Stegostoma tigrinum: one gene and its partner. The protein of the gene in region 2 interacts with the protein of the main gene of each other region in a pairwise test. Links are inferred from orthologs where the notes say so. Each region holds a gene or a part of one and is shown on either strand. Other genes may lie near its edges.

Region 1 (7,023 bases), on a different chromosome or scaffold from region 2:
CAGATGCCTTTTAAATGTTGTAATCATAGCAGCCTCCACCACTTCATTCCAAACACGTACCACCCGTGTGTGAAAAAGTTACATCGCAGGTCCTTTTTAAAGCATTTCCCTCTCACCTTAAAATTGTGTCGTCTAGCTTTGGACTCCCTAATCCATGACGCTCATGATCTTATAAACCTCTGTAAGCTCAGTCTCCAACACTCCAGGAGAAAAGAAGCCCCAATGTATTCAGTCTCTCCTTATAGCTCAAACTCTCCAGTCCTGACAACATCCTCGTAAATCTTTTCTGCACGCTCTCAAGTTTAATAACATCCATCCTATAGAAGGACAACCAGAATTGCATGCAATATTCCAAACGTGGCCTCACCAACATCCTGTACAGCTGCAACATGACATCCCAACTCTATATTCAATGTTATGACTAATGAAGGCAAGGGTGACAAATGCTTCTTCATCACCCAGTCTACCTGCACTTTCAAGGAACTATGCACCTGCACCCCTAGGTTTCTTTATTGGGCAACACTCCTCAGGGCCCTACTATAACTGTGTAAGTCCTGCTCTGGTTTGCCTTACCAAAATGCAACATGTCACATTTATCTTAAATAAACTTAATCTGCCATTTCTTGACCCAATGGCATATCCGATCACGGACCTGTTGTACTCTGAGATAATCTTCTTCATGTTCGCTACATCACCTATTTTGGTGTCATCAACAAACTTACTAACCATACCTCCTATATTCAAATCCAAGTCATTTAATTAAATGACAAAAAGCAAGGAATCAGCACTGATCCCTGCAGCACACCACCGGTCACTCGCCTCCAGTCCAAAAAGCAATATTCAACCACCACCCTGTCTCCTACTTTAAAGTCAATTTTGTATCCCATTGGCTAGCTCCCCCTGGATCCCGAGTGATCCAACGTTACTAACAACTTCACCATGCAGAACCTTGTCGCACACTTTGGTGAAGTCCACACAGACATCTACTGCTTTGCCCGCATCAACCTTGTCTGTCGCCTATTCAAAATACTCAATCTAATTAGTAAGACACATAAAGCTATGCTGACTATCCCTAATCACACACTGCCTTTCCAAATATATGTAAATCCTGTCCCTCAGAATCCCCTCCAGCACCTTACCTACCACTGATGCAAAGCTCACTGGTCTCTAGTTCCCTGGCTTTGCTTACGGCCTTTCTTAAATAACAGCACCACATTAGCCAACCTCCGTGATCACCCATAACTACTGATGATACAAATATCTCAGCAAAGGTGACCACCAATTTTATTCCAGCTTCCCACAATGTTCTGGGAAACAGCTGACCAGGTCGTGGGGATTTATCTACATTTATGTATTTTAAGATCTCCAGCACTTCCTCCTAAAACAGAGAACAGTACAGGCCCTTTGGCCCACGATGTTGTGCTGACCTATTATCCCACTAAGATCAACCTACCCTGCAAACCCTACATTTTGCTATCCTCCATGTTCCTATCCAAGAGTCACTTAAAAGTCTCTGAAGTATCTGACTCCACTACCACTGCCAGAAGTGCATTCCACATGCCCACCACATATGACATCTCCCCTGTACCTTCCTCCAATCACCTTAAAACTATGCCCCCTCATAATAGTCATTTCTGTCATATCAACCTTTTCCAAGCCACCTCCATTTATTTCCAAGTTCCATTTCCTTCTTCACATTAAGTACTGAAGTAAAATACTAGTCATTCATAGTCAATACTTTTATTTCATGCTTAAAAGGCCTCCCACTTCCCAAACAAATTCACTTTACCTGGAAGGAAAACAAAGTTCCCGGAAAAACACAGCAGATCTAGCAGCATCTGGGGACAGTGGTCCCTCCTCAGAACTGCTGCCAGATCTGCTGAGCTTTTCCAGCAACGTTGTTTTCGTTCCTGATTTACAGCATCCATAGTTCTTTGGTTTTCACTTTACCTGTGAATAGCTTTCCCCAATCAACTTTTGGAAGTTCCTGTGTAATACCTTCCAAATTGGCCTCAATCCGATTTACAAATTTAAATTGTAAAATCAGTTCCATCCTTTTCCATAACTATTTTAAAACCAGCAGAATTGAGACCACTTGCCCCAAAGTGCTCTCCCACTGACACCTCTATCACCTGCTCTCCCTTATTTCCCAACTGAAGGTCAAGTATTGCTCCTTCTCTAATAGATACATCCATGGTGAATAAGAAAGTTTTTTTGTACACACTTAACAAATTTGTTCCATCCAAACCCTTAATACTACGACAGTCCCAGTCTGTGTTTGGATAGTTAAAATCCCTAACCAATACAACACTATTTGCTTATAGATTATCTGAGATCTCTGTGCATATTTGCTTCTCAACTTCCCACTGACTATGGGGCGGGGGCGCTATTAACAATCCCAACAAGATAATCATCCCTTTCTCATTTTAAATTCTTCCCCACTATAACCTCATTGGACGATCTCCCAGCAATTAACTCCCTATCCAAAAGAACCACACTTCTCCTTCTGATAACATCTACAGCCTGGAACATGAAGCTGCTAGTCCTGTTTACCTTTGAACCATGTTTCTGCAGCGGCTATGACATGCCGGTCCCAACCAAGCCCTGGGTTCATCTCCCTTACCTGTCAGGCCTCTTGTATTGAAGTAAATGGAGTTGGGCGAGGGATTGTGAGGGTTTGAGAGGGCTGTTGATGGGGAGGTGAGGGTCGTTGACTGGAGGCATGTGAGAGATGTTAGGGTGGTTGTGAGGTGGGGGGGTAAATGAGTACAGTGTTGAACCCCCTTCCCTCCCTCACCGTCTGCTCGGGGTCGATCTCGATTCTGAACGTTTGCTGCTGCAGCGTTTTCACGGTGATGAACATGGTGACGGTCTCCTTCCCCCTTACCTCCCCTCGCCGGGGAGGTGGAAGGGAAGTGGAACCGCCGCCGGGTGGGTTTTTTTAAAAAAGGCGATTAAAACAAAAAAAAAATCAAGTAATCCCGCTCCTCCGCCACCTGCGGTTTGCTCGAAGATTCCACCAAGGCCCCACTGCTTCAAGCCACCACCGCCATCTTTACGCAAACGCTACGCTGGCGTAACGTCATTGCCATGGCGACCGGGCTATCTCACGTGGTGTGTGGCCTTCCACTAAAGTCGGAGGGAAGATGTGCCAACTCGGACTCGTTACTTGTCTCAATGCCTGACAACTGTGCAATTAAGTTTCAATGTGCAAACGATAATGGAAATAAGAAACTTGCATTTATATTGAGGATAGGCAGTAGCAGCGTACTAATGTCACAAACAAATCATCCAGAAGTCCAGGCACTGCAGAGGCAGGTATAGGGTTTTGGGGGGGGGGGGGGGGGTGTGGGGAAAAGGTTCACTCTCCTGTTGCTGTATCTGCAGGGATTATAAATTGGTTCAAAAATATTTTTTAAGAAGAAAATCAAGACAACAATCAAGGCAGCTGGCAGAATTTAAAATTTAATAAAATGCATCAGTGACCATATCTTGCATCAGAGTTCCTGCTGCTAGGTTAGCAGGCCAGGTGCAAGTCCCACATTTTCCAAATGTAATATTGATTAGAAAATATCTGGGATATATCTCTGGTCATGGATAACACCATATGAAGCTGGATGAACACAACAGGCCAAGCAGCATCACAGGGGCAGGAAAGTTGACATTTCAGGTGGCCTTGACCCAAAATGTCAACTTTCCTGCTCCTCTGATGCTGCTTGGCCTGCTGTGTTCATCCAGCTTCATCCATGTTGTCTCAGATTCTCCAGCATCAGCAGTTCCTACTATCCATGTCTCCATCATGGCAGCTTTCTAAGGTTGGAATTATGAACAAAATGCACTGTAGGACCACCTCAACACATTCTAAGCAGCTCAAAGCACTCCACTGCATCACATTTAAAAAAAAAATCAGGTTAATAGCTCTGATGAGCACCACTCACTGAAACATGTCAGAAGTCATATGGGACCAGGTTTATCTGAAGTAACAAACCTTCCAAATGCAATCACCTGATGAAGGATCAGTGCTCCAAATACTGGTGATTTCAAATAGACCTGTTGGATTGTAACTGGGTGTTGTATGACTTCTGACTTTAAGCGTAGAAAACTTCGTCAGGGACTTGCGACAAAATTTTCTTTGGATTACTGAGCAGGACAGCATTATCTGAATGCAAACTGCATAAGTGTTAGAAAATGTTGCCCAAATTCATCCCCACCGTGGCTCCATTTTGAAGCCTCAAAACTGTTTCAGTCCGTCTGTCAAGAATGTGGCAGGGGAGAAGGACAGAGTAAGGGGACAGTCTGTCATAGCGCTTAACCTAAATTCCAACTTACAAACCTACTTGGGAGTCCAACTCTCACTTTTGAGACTCCTGTAATATTGTGAACTCAAAATGAAAGACAGGTGTCTTCAGGAAATATTGTCAAAATAAAGAATTACCTTTTAAATCAAGTCAAGTGATAGACAAGTACTGAAATGTGACATAGCTGATCAAAAGCAATGATTTCTGCATGTATAGGAGATCTGCTTTACATAGAGGGCTTGAACTGGGATTGACAACACTGCAACCATGCTCCAGCACCTCAGCCTGTAGGGTTTTTCTTTGAAAAAAAGATTGCTGTTAAAAAAAAATCTCTCCTGGCTCAAATGGTTTTTCTGGAGCAAATGACTGCTATTTGTGCAGTCTGAAGTCTTGTACAAAACCTACTTCCAGTAATTACACTCTTCACTCCCAAAAAAAAAGTGAAGTTCATGCATTTTCCATAGTTTGAAAAGCAAACAAAGTGCAAGTCTAGTACATAACTAGGGGACATAATCCTTACTTCTAAATTTAGGAGCTTGCTTTTAATTTAAAAAAAAATTACAACTTGAAAAATGCTCAACCAGAAAGTGGAAGCAGAATCTAGTGGCTTATTATGGAAGTAAAATTTTCAATATTTATCCAAAATAGAAATGGTGGGATTGCAGGGGTTAATTATCTATTAAGAGGTGATAGACAAATTCATTCTATGCTGCAAAACTCTGTTTTAATGAGTTAAGAGGTCAGTTCAGGAGGTGTGGAAATTGGTTACTCACAGGGATATCTAATAGAATCAATTGGAGAGAAAACCACCAACATGGAAAGAATTGCCATCTGACAAAAGCGCTCTTCATGGAGTTCAATTACCTTATTCTGTAGTCAAGAACATAGCAGTTGGAAAGCATCATAGCAGGACTAGACCATTCAGCATCAGGCTTTGTAATAAAAAGGTCGCCAATTTGTTTTACATGCATGCTATTTCTGATGAATAAAATGGTACCCAGGTCCCTCTGAACGGCAAGCTTTCAGGATCTTGACCCTTGAAAAAAATTTCTTTATGCACAAATCCAAACTGGATAACTTATCATAATTAACATCTGCCATGCCCATTTGATGACTTTAGCCCTTTGCAGTTTGTTTCTCCTCAATTTAATTTTCTGCATATTATAACAGTCTTTGTTAGGATTATCCTCTGACCCTCTGTATTAATTGATATTACAATTAGCTAAAATCCAACACTGATTCTTGCATTAATCTCACTGGCTACAGCCAGGCAACCCAAATGGCTTGTCCAATTCCAGCTTTATTAACCAATGAATCCACACTTTACCACCCCCAATACCAAAAGTCCATGAAATTCAAAGGACTAAGAACTATTCCAAACTGAAAAGGAAAGAACAAACAATTATTTCACTTCCATTGGTATTTATTGTAGAAATGTGATCAAACATACTTCTGTATTGCACACAGAACAAGTTTTCCCCAAACAGTCATCAATTAAATCACCAATTTACAACATTTAAATAACAGATTAAAATGACAACTTTAGACTTGGTCTGTACAGAATTTAAGTCTCCTTTTGAATGTTGTTGGAAATAAAGAAATTTTTCCCCCTCCTTTTCATGAAACCCCCATATAAAGAATGCAAAATACAAAGGCAAAGTTGACCCTGGATTTGGAAAGAGCCGATAAACATCCATTTATATAACCAGTGCAGTCCTGCTCTACCCAATTGTTCTGAATGGAAAAGGCAGCTATACAATTACACCTACAGTTGAAGCCCGTTAAACAGGGGCACCCCGCACCCCCCCCCCCACCTCAAATGGAAGTGAAATTGGTCAATTTAAATCATACCATCCCCAATGTTAATTCCCATCAGATTTTAGTTACACCTGGGAACTGAGTGGTTCTCAAAAACCAAAAAGAGAGATCTTATAAAGCAGTACAGCCTGGAAGTTAACTGGCATCAACTGTAGAATCTCAAACATGCTCAAGTACACTGTTCAGTTGTATCATGTTTACCTAGACAAAGACACAAAACAAGCTAACCTAACAGCACTGGAACCCAAAATTTGGAAATTACTGGCAGCAAGCAAATAGATTTGGGCTTCTACCAAATTTTAAACTGAAGGGTTGACCAATTTAAAAAAGCTAACACCTCAGTTGAAAAACAGCATAAACGTGCTCAGATGATTTCTAGGATTATTAAATGTGGCATGTTCAAGATGCAAGACACAACAGCCCAAGTTCCACTCAGGTTTGATCCTTCCCTACCCACCATTATGAAGCTGACTTCTAGTTACCAAATTTTTAATAAGGAAGGTTTAGAAATTTCAGCAGTCCCTTCCTCAGTGGATATATTCTCATGTTCACTTACTGCCCCAACCCTAAAAGCCTGACATTTCCCCCCCCCCCCGCCAATTTGTTCATAAACAAAAAACATTCCAATAAGGGGTCCCAGTTGCTATGTGTAACTTTTCTGCACATTGCCCTGCTGCCATTCATTCTCAGCATTTATTACAATCTTTATAACTCATCCTTTTGAACGGTTTCTGTTTCTTCTTCCTCCTCCTCCTCATCTTCCTCTTTTTCTTCCTTCTCTTCATCCTCATCCTCCTCATCCCCCTCAGCATCATCCTCCTTATCCTTCTCTTCCTCCTCTCTCTTCTTTCTCTCCTCTTCATCCTGTTGCTCTTTCATTTTCTTTTCTGGCTCCTGAAAAGACAAT
Region 2 (8,034 bases):
AGACCCGAAATGTCAGCTTTCCTGCTCCTCTGATGCTGCTTGATCTGCTGTGTTCATCCAGCTCTACACCTTGTTCCTTTGTGACCTGCATTTGTTAGTCACAAGAGTAGTGAAGGCAGTTGACTTTATTTGATCCCACATTGTTCTGATAGCGGAAAAAGTGGTCTACCAACTTATGATTTTTATCGTCTGAGTTTTAATATCTTGGATGTTTTGTTGAGACAATTTAAAATATATCTTTTAAATTGATAAAAAAAACTAACATGATGGCCACAGTAATTGTAAGACCTCTAGATGAGCCACATCATGAAATCACCAATCAACAAGACCCATTCTGAACTGAAATTAATAAGATTAGTCGCTCAGATCTGTATCTCCTGTTTGATTTATCCCATTCTGTAAGTTTCAACGTTAGGATGAACATCAATTATGGAGTATTCAGCTTGCAAACACCAATGAAAGCAGACACAGGAATACATAAAGGAATAATACTTAAGACAAATACCTTTGAGCATTGATTGAGAGAGGGTAAATGGATTCATAATAGACAATGACAATAGGTGCTGGAGTAGGCCATTCGGCCCTTCGAGCCAGCACCACCATTCATTATGATCATGGCTGATCATCCACAATCAGTATCCTGTTCCTGCCTTACCCCATAACCCTTGATTCCACTATCTTTAAGAGCTCTAGCCATCTCTTTCTTGAAACTATCCAGAGAGTTGGCCTCCACTGCCTTCTGGGGCAGAGCATTCCATATATCCACCACTCTCTGGGTGAAGAAGTTTCTCCTTAACTCTGTTCTGAATGGCCTATCTCTTATTTTTAAACTGTGTCCTCTGGTTCTGGACTCACCCATCGGTGGAAACATGCTTCCTGCCTCCAGAGTGTCCAATCCCTTAATAATCTTGTACGCCTCAATCAGATCCCCTCTCATCCTTCTAAACTCAAGTGTATAATAGCAGAACTGGAAGGCTTGCTTGCCTTTCTCCCTGTTTCACTCAGTGTCCCTTAAAATACAATGCCCAGTGTTAGAAGCAAATTGGAGAAATATATATTCACCAAGAACAGAAAGATATTCAGAAATTTCACTGCTGCTGAAATAAGAATCATCAACTTAATAACCGGGGTCGCACATTAAACCTAACTCCTTATAGACGTTTCAAACTGTATACACTTGAATTCCCTTCTTCTTACTAGATACTGTCTCTTTTGAAATGTTATATCTGTGTTTGCATGTGTGCTTGATGTCTCATTTTTATTTTTTTAAGGGTCAGTAATTAATAAAATCCTCCTTTCTTTCACCGAAGGAAACCCGTTGATTGACTCCTTACTTTTGACTAGTATTACATTTTAATTGAAATAAATGTGTGCTAAAAAGAATTTAAAATTTATTTTGCAGCCATACACTCATCCTTCCCTGGTCATAAATAATAATATAAATGCATAAAACTGCGGATGCTGGAAATCTAAAACAAAAACAGAGTCCTGGAGAAACACAGTAAATTTCTGCTAATGATGGAGTGCAGAGAAGTGACTACACTACACAGAGACAGACCACAGACATGGAGTGGGAGAGGCAAAGATAGAGAGAGAGAGAGATAGATACAGACAGAGACAGAAAGGGAGAGAGTGAGAGAAAGGGACAGGCAAACAAAGAGTTGAGCATAGAAATATCCAATGATAAGCCAGGAGGGAGATAAATGCTAAGTAGAGTGATAATGTAACGTATGGACAGTTGAAAATGTGTTGGCTATGTAGACAGAAATGCAGATAACGCGGGGGTAAAAGGGGAGGGTAGCCAACATGGAGTGTGATGACCACATTCTGAATTGTTAAACTCAATGTTCAGTCCTGAAAGCTACCAGGTACCGAGGCGAAAGATGTGTTGTTCTTCCAGCTTGTCTTGAGCTTTGCAGGAGCACTGCAGCAGGCCTAAGACAGAAAATTGCCATGGGAACATGGTGATATGATGAAGTGACAGAAAGCTGGAAGCTGGAGTCAATTTTATCAGCTGAGCATAGGTGTTTGACAAAGCAGTCACCCCAGGCTACTTTTTGTCTCACCAATGTTCACATAGTGAACAGCGAATACAGTACATTAGATTGGACGAAGTACAGGTAAATAGCTGCTTCACCTGGAAGGTGTGTCTGGGTCCTTGGTTAGTGAAGAGGGAATACATAGGCAGGTGTTACACCTTCTGCAAAGGCCTGAGAAGGCACCATGAGGGTGTGGACCTGGGTGTGCCGGAGAAAACAGTCCCCGTAGAATGCTGACATGGAAGGGGAATGTGTGTCTGCTGGTGCCATTCTGTTGGAAGTGGAGTAAATGATGGATTCTTTGGATACAGAGGCTGGTGGAGTGGAAAATGAGGATTGTTGTTGCAGGAGGGGACTGAGGGGTTACCTAATGCAGAAATGGAACAGACATGGCCAACGGCCCTGTCAACCATTGTGCCAGGATATTCTTGGTGGTGGAAAAAAGTGAACATTTCTGAGGGTCACTTGCAAATGGTAACATAATCAGAACAAATGCAATGAAGATGCAGAAACTGGGAGAATGGAATAGAGTACTCACAGGAAGTAGGGTGTGATGATATTTGGTCAAATTAACCTTGGGAGTCAGTAGATTTTTAATGGATATTGGTGGCCAGCTTATTCCTAGAAATAGAAACAGAGCTATCAAGAAAGGGATGGGAGGAGTCAGTGATGGACTGGGAAAAGGCAAAGGTGTGGTCATAACAATGTTTGTTTCGTTCTTGATAACAAGGTGTGGAGCTGGATGAACACAGCAGGCCAAGCAGCATCAGAGGAGCAGGAAAGCTGACGTTTCGGGCCTAGACCTTTCTGATGAAGGGTCTAGGCCCGAAACATCAGCTTTCCTGCTCTGAAGATGCTGCTTGGCCTGCTGTGTTCATCCAGCTCCACACTTTGTTATCCCGGATTCTCCAGCATCTGCAGTTCCCATTATCTTTGTTTTGTTCTCGTTGGGGTGAGGTTACACTGGACCTCCTTCAGTTGTTGTCATGTACTTATAAAATGTAAATGAGAGTCAGGAACTAATCTATACAGTAAAGCATTATTTAAAGTAAGTGTAGATCCACAGTGTTATTAAGGAGGGAGTTCTAGGATTTTGACCTAGTGATTCATTTCCATACCAGGATGATGAGTGGCTTGAAGGGGAACTCTCGTTATTCCCATCCCCAAATAATACCCAACCCCAGCTCCTCCCTCACTCAAATGACCCTCCCATTCTCCCCAGCTAATCCCCATTACCCAACCCATTTCTTCCCCAGAAGCTACGCCTCCCCGGGTTGTGCCCCTCAGCATTCCCTAAAAACACAGCCACTCTCCTAATAGCCTTTAAACACCTCGCACTTCCACCTCCCCATCCCCTCTCTCAACCTCACCCACTTTCTCCACCACCAGCCTCTCCCACCATCTCTCCTCCCCCAGCCTTTCCCACCTCTCTCTTCCACTACCCCTCCTCCACTCTCCAACCCACCTCACCCATGCTCTCTACCCTCAGCACCCCCCATCTTGGCCCCCACCTTGCCCCTACCATCTCTACTCCACCCTCTCACACTGTCTACACTCTCTGCCTCTCCACATGTACACCTCCAACCCTCTCTCCCTGTTTCCTCTTCCAATCCCAACGCCTGCCTTCAACTTCAGCCCCAACACCCTGTCTCCACATCCAATGCCTCCCCTAACTCCAAACCCAACCTTCTAACATTCCCCTCTCAACACCAGCCCCTCACCCTCATTCTGCCCTCAGCCGTTCCATCTTCTTCTCCTTCAGCCCCTTTTCTTGACGTAGCCCTGTCACTGTACCCCAGTAGCAATCCCTCCCCCACTCAGACCCACCATCTTATCCACCCGCCCCACAACCTCCACAACCGTTGCTCCGCCCCTTCAGACCTTGCACATACCACACCTTTTCATTGCCCCCATCTCTCCCCTACCTACATCCCCACTCCACAAACAGCCCCTCCCCTCACACCACCCACCCAAATTGACCCCGACCACATTCTTATTCCCTGCACAACACCTTCCCACATCCGCATCCATCCCTCCCCATTCCCACCCACTTATCCGCACCCTGGCCACACATCCAGACCTACCCCTCCACCACACATCCCATAGTCCTCACCAAGCCACACCCTCTCTCCCTGTCAAGCCCCATGCCTACCCAGCATGTCCCTGCCCTTTCTCCAAACCCCTCTCCAAATCCAGTCCCTCCCCTACACTCTTCAGACCTACCCATCTACCTGCCAAGCCCACTCATCTTGCCCCATCTCCTTCGCTCCATGCCACAACCACTTCCCAAGTTCAGCCTCACCCCTACCCTACTCAGCAACATTCCTTCACCACTCAGCCCCACCCCTACACCACAGCCCAACCATAAACCACTCAGCCCCACCTCTTCGCCATTCAGCCCCATTCCTGCAGCATCCAGCCCCACCCCTACACCAATCAGACCCCACACATTCACCCCTGTTTCCAGACCCTTTATCTGCTCTTGCCTCCTTTCCACGGCCCATCCCCTCGCCATACTAGCCACCCCATTCCTAGCCCCACCCTACCTTCAACCCCGCCCATCTCCCAGCAAGGCTCCCTGTCCTCTACCAGCCCCACCTGTTCCGCTCCCCTACTAGCCCAGCTCCACCCGTATGCCATTCCCACCCCTCGCCCTGAACCGATCCCCATCCAGCTCCGCCCCCTATTCTAGTCCCACCCCTCTCCCTGACACGCTCCACATCCAGCTCCGCCCCCTATTCTAGTCCCTCCCCTCACCCTGACACGCTCCACATCCAGCTCCGCCCCCTATTCTAGTCCCACCCCTCTCCCTGACACGCTCCACATCCAGCTCCGCCCCCTATTCTAGTCCCACCCCTCACCCAGACACGCTCCACATCCAGCTCCGCCCCCTATTCTAGTCCCACCCCTCATCCTGCCCCGCCCAGTATCGCAGCCCCGCCCAGTCTCCACCCTGTGCCCCTCCCCCTCTGCAGCTTCTCTCTGTTTGTGGATCGGCCATGACGGTGGAACAAAATGTCCTGCAGCAGCATTCACAGAAGGTAAACAAACAGGAAAGGAGAGGTTCCTTCCCACCTTGCCTTTTCCCCTCCCGCCTGTCCGCGGCCTTCTTGTCCACATGGACCTACGATGCCCCTGAATGTTCCTTTACTCGGGAGGGTCCGCCCGCCCGCGCCTGCATTCACCACCCCCCGTTCCCCAGACCGCTGCCGTTCGGTCACCGCCTGAGGAGCTTGTTGCCCCCGCTGCGCTGGCACGCGAGCCGCAGGCTTCTGGCCTAGCCTAGCAACAGCAACAATAATAATGCTACTGTAACGCCCAGGGTGTTAATGGAGCTGGCACCAGCCCCAGGTCGAGAGGCTCTTCCGAGATATTGCGCCTAGGCCAGCAAGGTTTTGAGTTTTAAATCAGGCTGAGAATGAAATTTGTAACTTGTTTATTTTTGCCTGGCGGTGAGGGCGGCAAGTTCAGTTCACTTTGGACGTAGTGTTAGGGTTTCACCTGAATTTTCCCTCCTTTGAGGCACAGCCCATAGTAGAGGACAATTGTAAAGCCTCACTAACAAAATCAGCCATTTATTTGTCTGTGTCCTCAGCCTCTAAGCTGCATTTTTCCCACCTGATCCTTTCCGCACTCTTCTTTTAAGGCACTCCTTAAAACCGTAAGCTTTTTGGTTGCCCCCTTCCTCAGTGTCAAATCTTGTCTAACAGTGCTCCTGTGGAGCACCTTGGCATATTAATCACGTTGTGTTTGCAAGTTGTAACAATTTCGTTCTGGCAGTGGAATGAAATTTTCTGAACTGCGTGATGCATTTTCACTCTTTTTGTTCTGAACCATGTTGTGTGTATGCGGTGCACTGTCTGAGGTACTTTCTCTCAAAATGATATGTCGAAGAGCCATACCTTCTGCTGTTTTCAGGTCATAAATCATACGACACCAGGTTATAGTTCAACAGGTTTATTTGAAAACACAAGCTTTCTGAGCCTCAGTCATTTAGTTGTTAATGAGAGGTAGTATCAGACAATTTATATGTAAAAGATCAACATTCCACACCATTGATGAGAATATCCTAAACAAATTTAAGATGCTGCTAAATCTTTAATCAGTTTTAAGGTTTTAATTAATATGGATATGTAAATCCACGAATTCCTTTCAAGCCACAGTCCTGAGAGAACTGAAGGTTTTACCAGAGTAAGGAAGAGTTGACATTTTAGGTTAGACAATGCAAGTTAGGTGTGTGACTTTGCTTAGAATCTGTTTGTGTTTTAGTTTGGAATCAGACTGGTTTTATTTCCAAAGTAGACATTTATATTAAAAAAAATTGTTGATAAGTTGTGTGTTTTTTGAACAAACTAAAATGTAGCTGTCAATACGTATTGACCCGATTGATTTGAGTGAGAGAAAGACAGTTTGAGAGAGTGATCAGAGATAATGGGAACTGCAGATGCTGGAGAATCCGAGATAACAAAGTGTGGAGCTGGATGAACACAGCAGGCCAAGCAGCATCTTAGGAGCACAAAAGCTGACGTTTCGGGCCTAGACCCTTCATCAGAAAAGACCCTTTTGTGATGAAGGGTCTAGGCCTGAAACATCAGCTTTTTTGCTCCTAAGATCTGCTTGGCCTGCTGTGTTCACCCAGCTCCACACTTTGTTATCTTAGTTTGAGAGAGAGAGTTGTGTGCATGTATATGTATACAAGAGTGTGTATTGTGGCGGGGGGGGGGGGGGGGGGGGCGTCACTTGTAGTGAGATGTGAACCCAAGATTCTGGTTGAGGCCATCCTCTTGGGTACCAGACATGGCTATTAGCCTCTGCTCAGTGTCTCTTCATTGTTGTGTATCCCAAAGTCCACTTGAAGATCCGAGGTCAAGCGTCCTTGCGTGTCGAAGTCTTCCCCCACTTGGAGGGAACATTCTTGTCTGGTGATTGTTGGGTGGTGTTCATTCATCTGTTGTTTCTCACACGCTCATTTTCTCAGTCTCCCCCCCCCCCCCCACCCTTCACTTACACACACACACACACACACACACACACACACACACTGAATTCCCCGCAACACACTCACATACGCACAAATCTACACAGACTTTGTCCATTCCAGTCCAACAGCGGCATTGCCACATCACTCTTTTCAGGTGGAAGTAGAATAAGCTGACCTCACTATATGAAAGAAGAATGGGGAACTTAACCTCTGGCATAGCCAAGATATTGATCACTGAAATTATAATACTATGTTCGTGATCAGATTGTGGTTTTGGGGCATTGCTTTGCACAAAATGACTGCCACTTTTCCCAGATTACAGTAGTGATTATGTTGCAAAAGTTCCTGTTTGTCTGTAAAGTGCTTTGAGATAATCGAAGATCAGGAAAGATGCGATATAAACTGAAGTTTTGAAGTTGTTTTTTTGATGCTTAATACATTATTGAGTTATTTACCTATTGAGTTTTGATGAATGATTATAATGTAAATATTGTGTATGCTTTTGTATATCTTACATATATTGTACTATGATATACTGTTGACATATTTTCTCTTTAAGTTATGATGTTGGCCTAGATTTAAAGGTCGACAGATGCATATTTTAAGATGCTCTTGTCTGTTGCTTATGATTTCTTATCAGACAAGGTATTGCAAATGTTTATTTTCTCATTTCCTTTCAATTCATGTTTAGAGAGCCCATCTGCTTGCATAGTGATAGGATTCATGAATTTTTATTTTAGGATTAATAGCTTGTTTCTATACAGAGCTTTCAGAGATCTTAGTTTATTGAAACTTTTGTATTGTCTTCCGTACAATTTTATTGGCCCGTTTTGTGCTGCTTTTGCTGTTCGTTCAACCAAAATTTTTCTTGCTAATGTCAATATTTTAAAACCCAACAGACCTGCAGAGTAAAATATTGAAGTAGTTGAAGCCATTTTGTGACAAGATCGATCAGTAGAGTGGAGTGTCATCCAAAATCCAGCTTTCAAAGCTGGTGAAGGACTGAGCAATAGA

Evidence for each region.
Region 1: the proteins of usp25 (region 2) and UV excision repair protein RAD23 homolog A-like interact in binary tests that used the Homo sapiens proteins (3 or more experiments, as listed by UniProt). The link is inferred for Stegostoma tigrinum from reciprocal best matches to the Homo sapiens genes USP25 and RAD23A.

The regions. Positions count from the first base shown.
Region 1 is NC_081388.1:16,541,107-16,548,129, forward strand, and holds the start of UV excision repair protein RAD23 homolog A-like, read right to left. Parts: upstream 3,069-7,023; 5' UTR 2,864-3,068; coding exon 2,798-2,863; intron 1-2,797. Other genes in the region: calreticulin-like, read right to left, coding at 6,822-7,010. UniProt on the Homo sapiens protein: Multiubiquitin chain receptor involved in modulation of proteasomal degradation. Binds to 'Lys-48'-linked polyubiquitin chains in a length-dependent manner and with a lower affinity to 'Lys-63'-linked polyubiquitin chains.
Region 2 is NC_081365.1:8,220,369-8,228,402, forward strand, and holds the start of usp25 (ubiquitin carboxyl-terminal hydrolase 25), read left to right. Parts: upstream 1-4,985; 5' UTR 4,986-5,038; coding exon 5,039-5,080; intron 5,081-8,034. UniProt on the Homo sapiens protein: Deubiquitinating enzyme that hydrolyzes ubiquitin moieties conjugated to substrates and thus, functions in various biological processes including inflammation and immune response.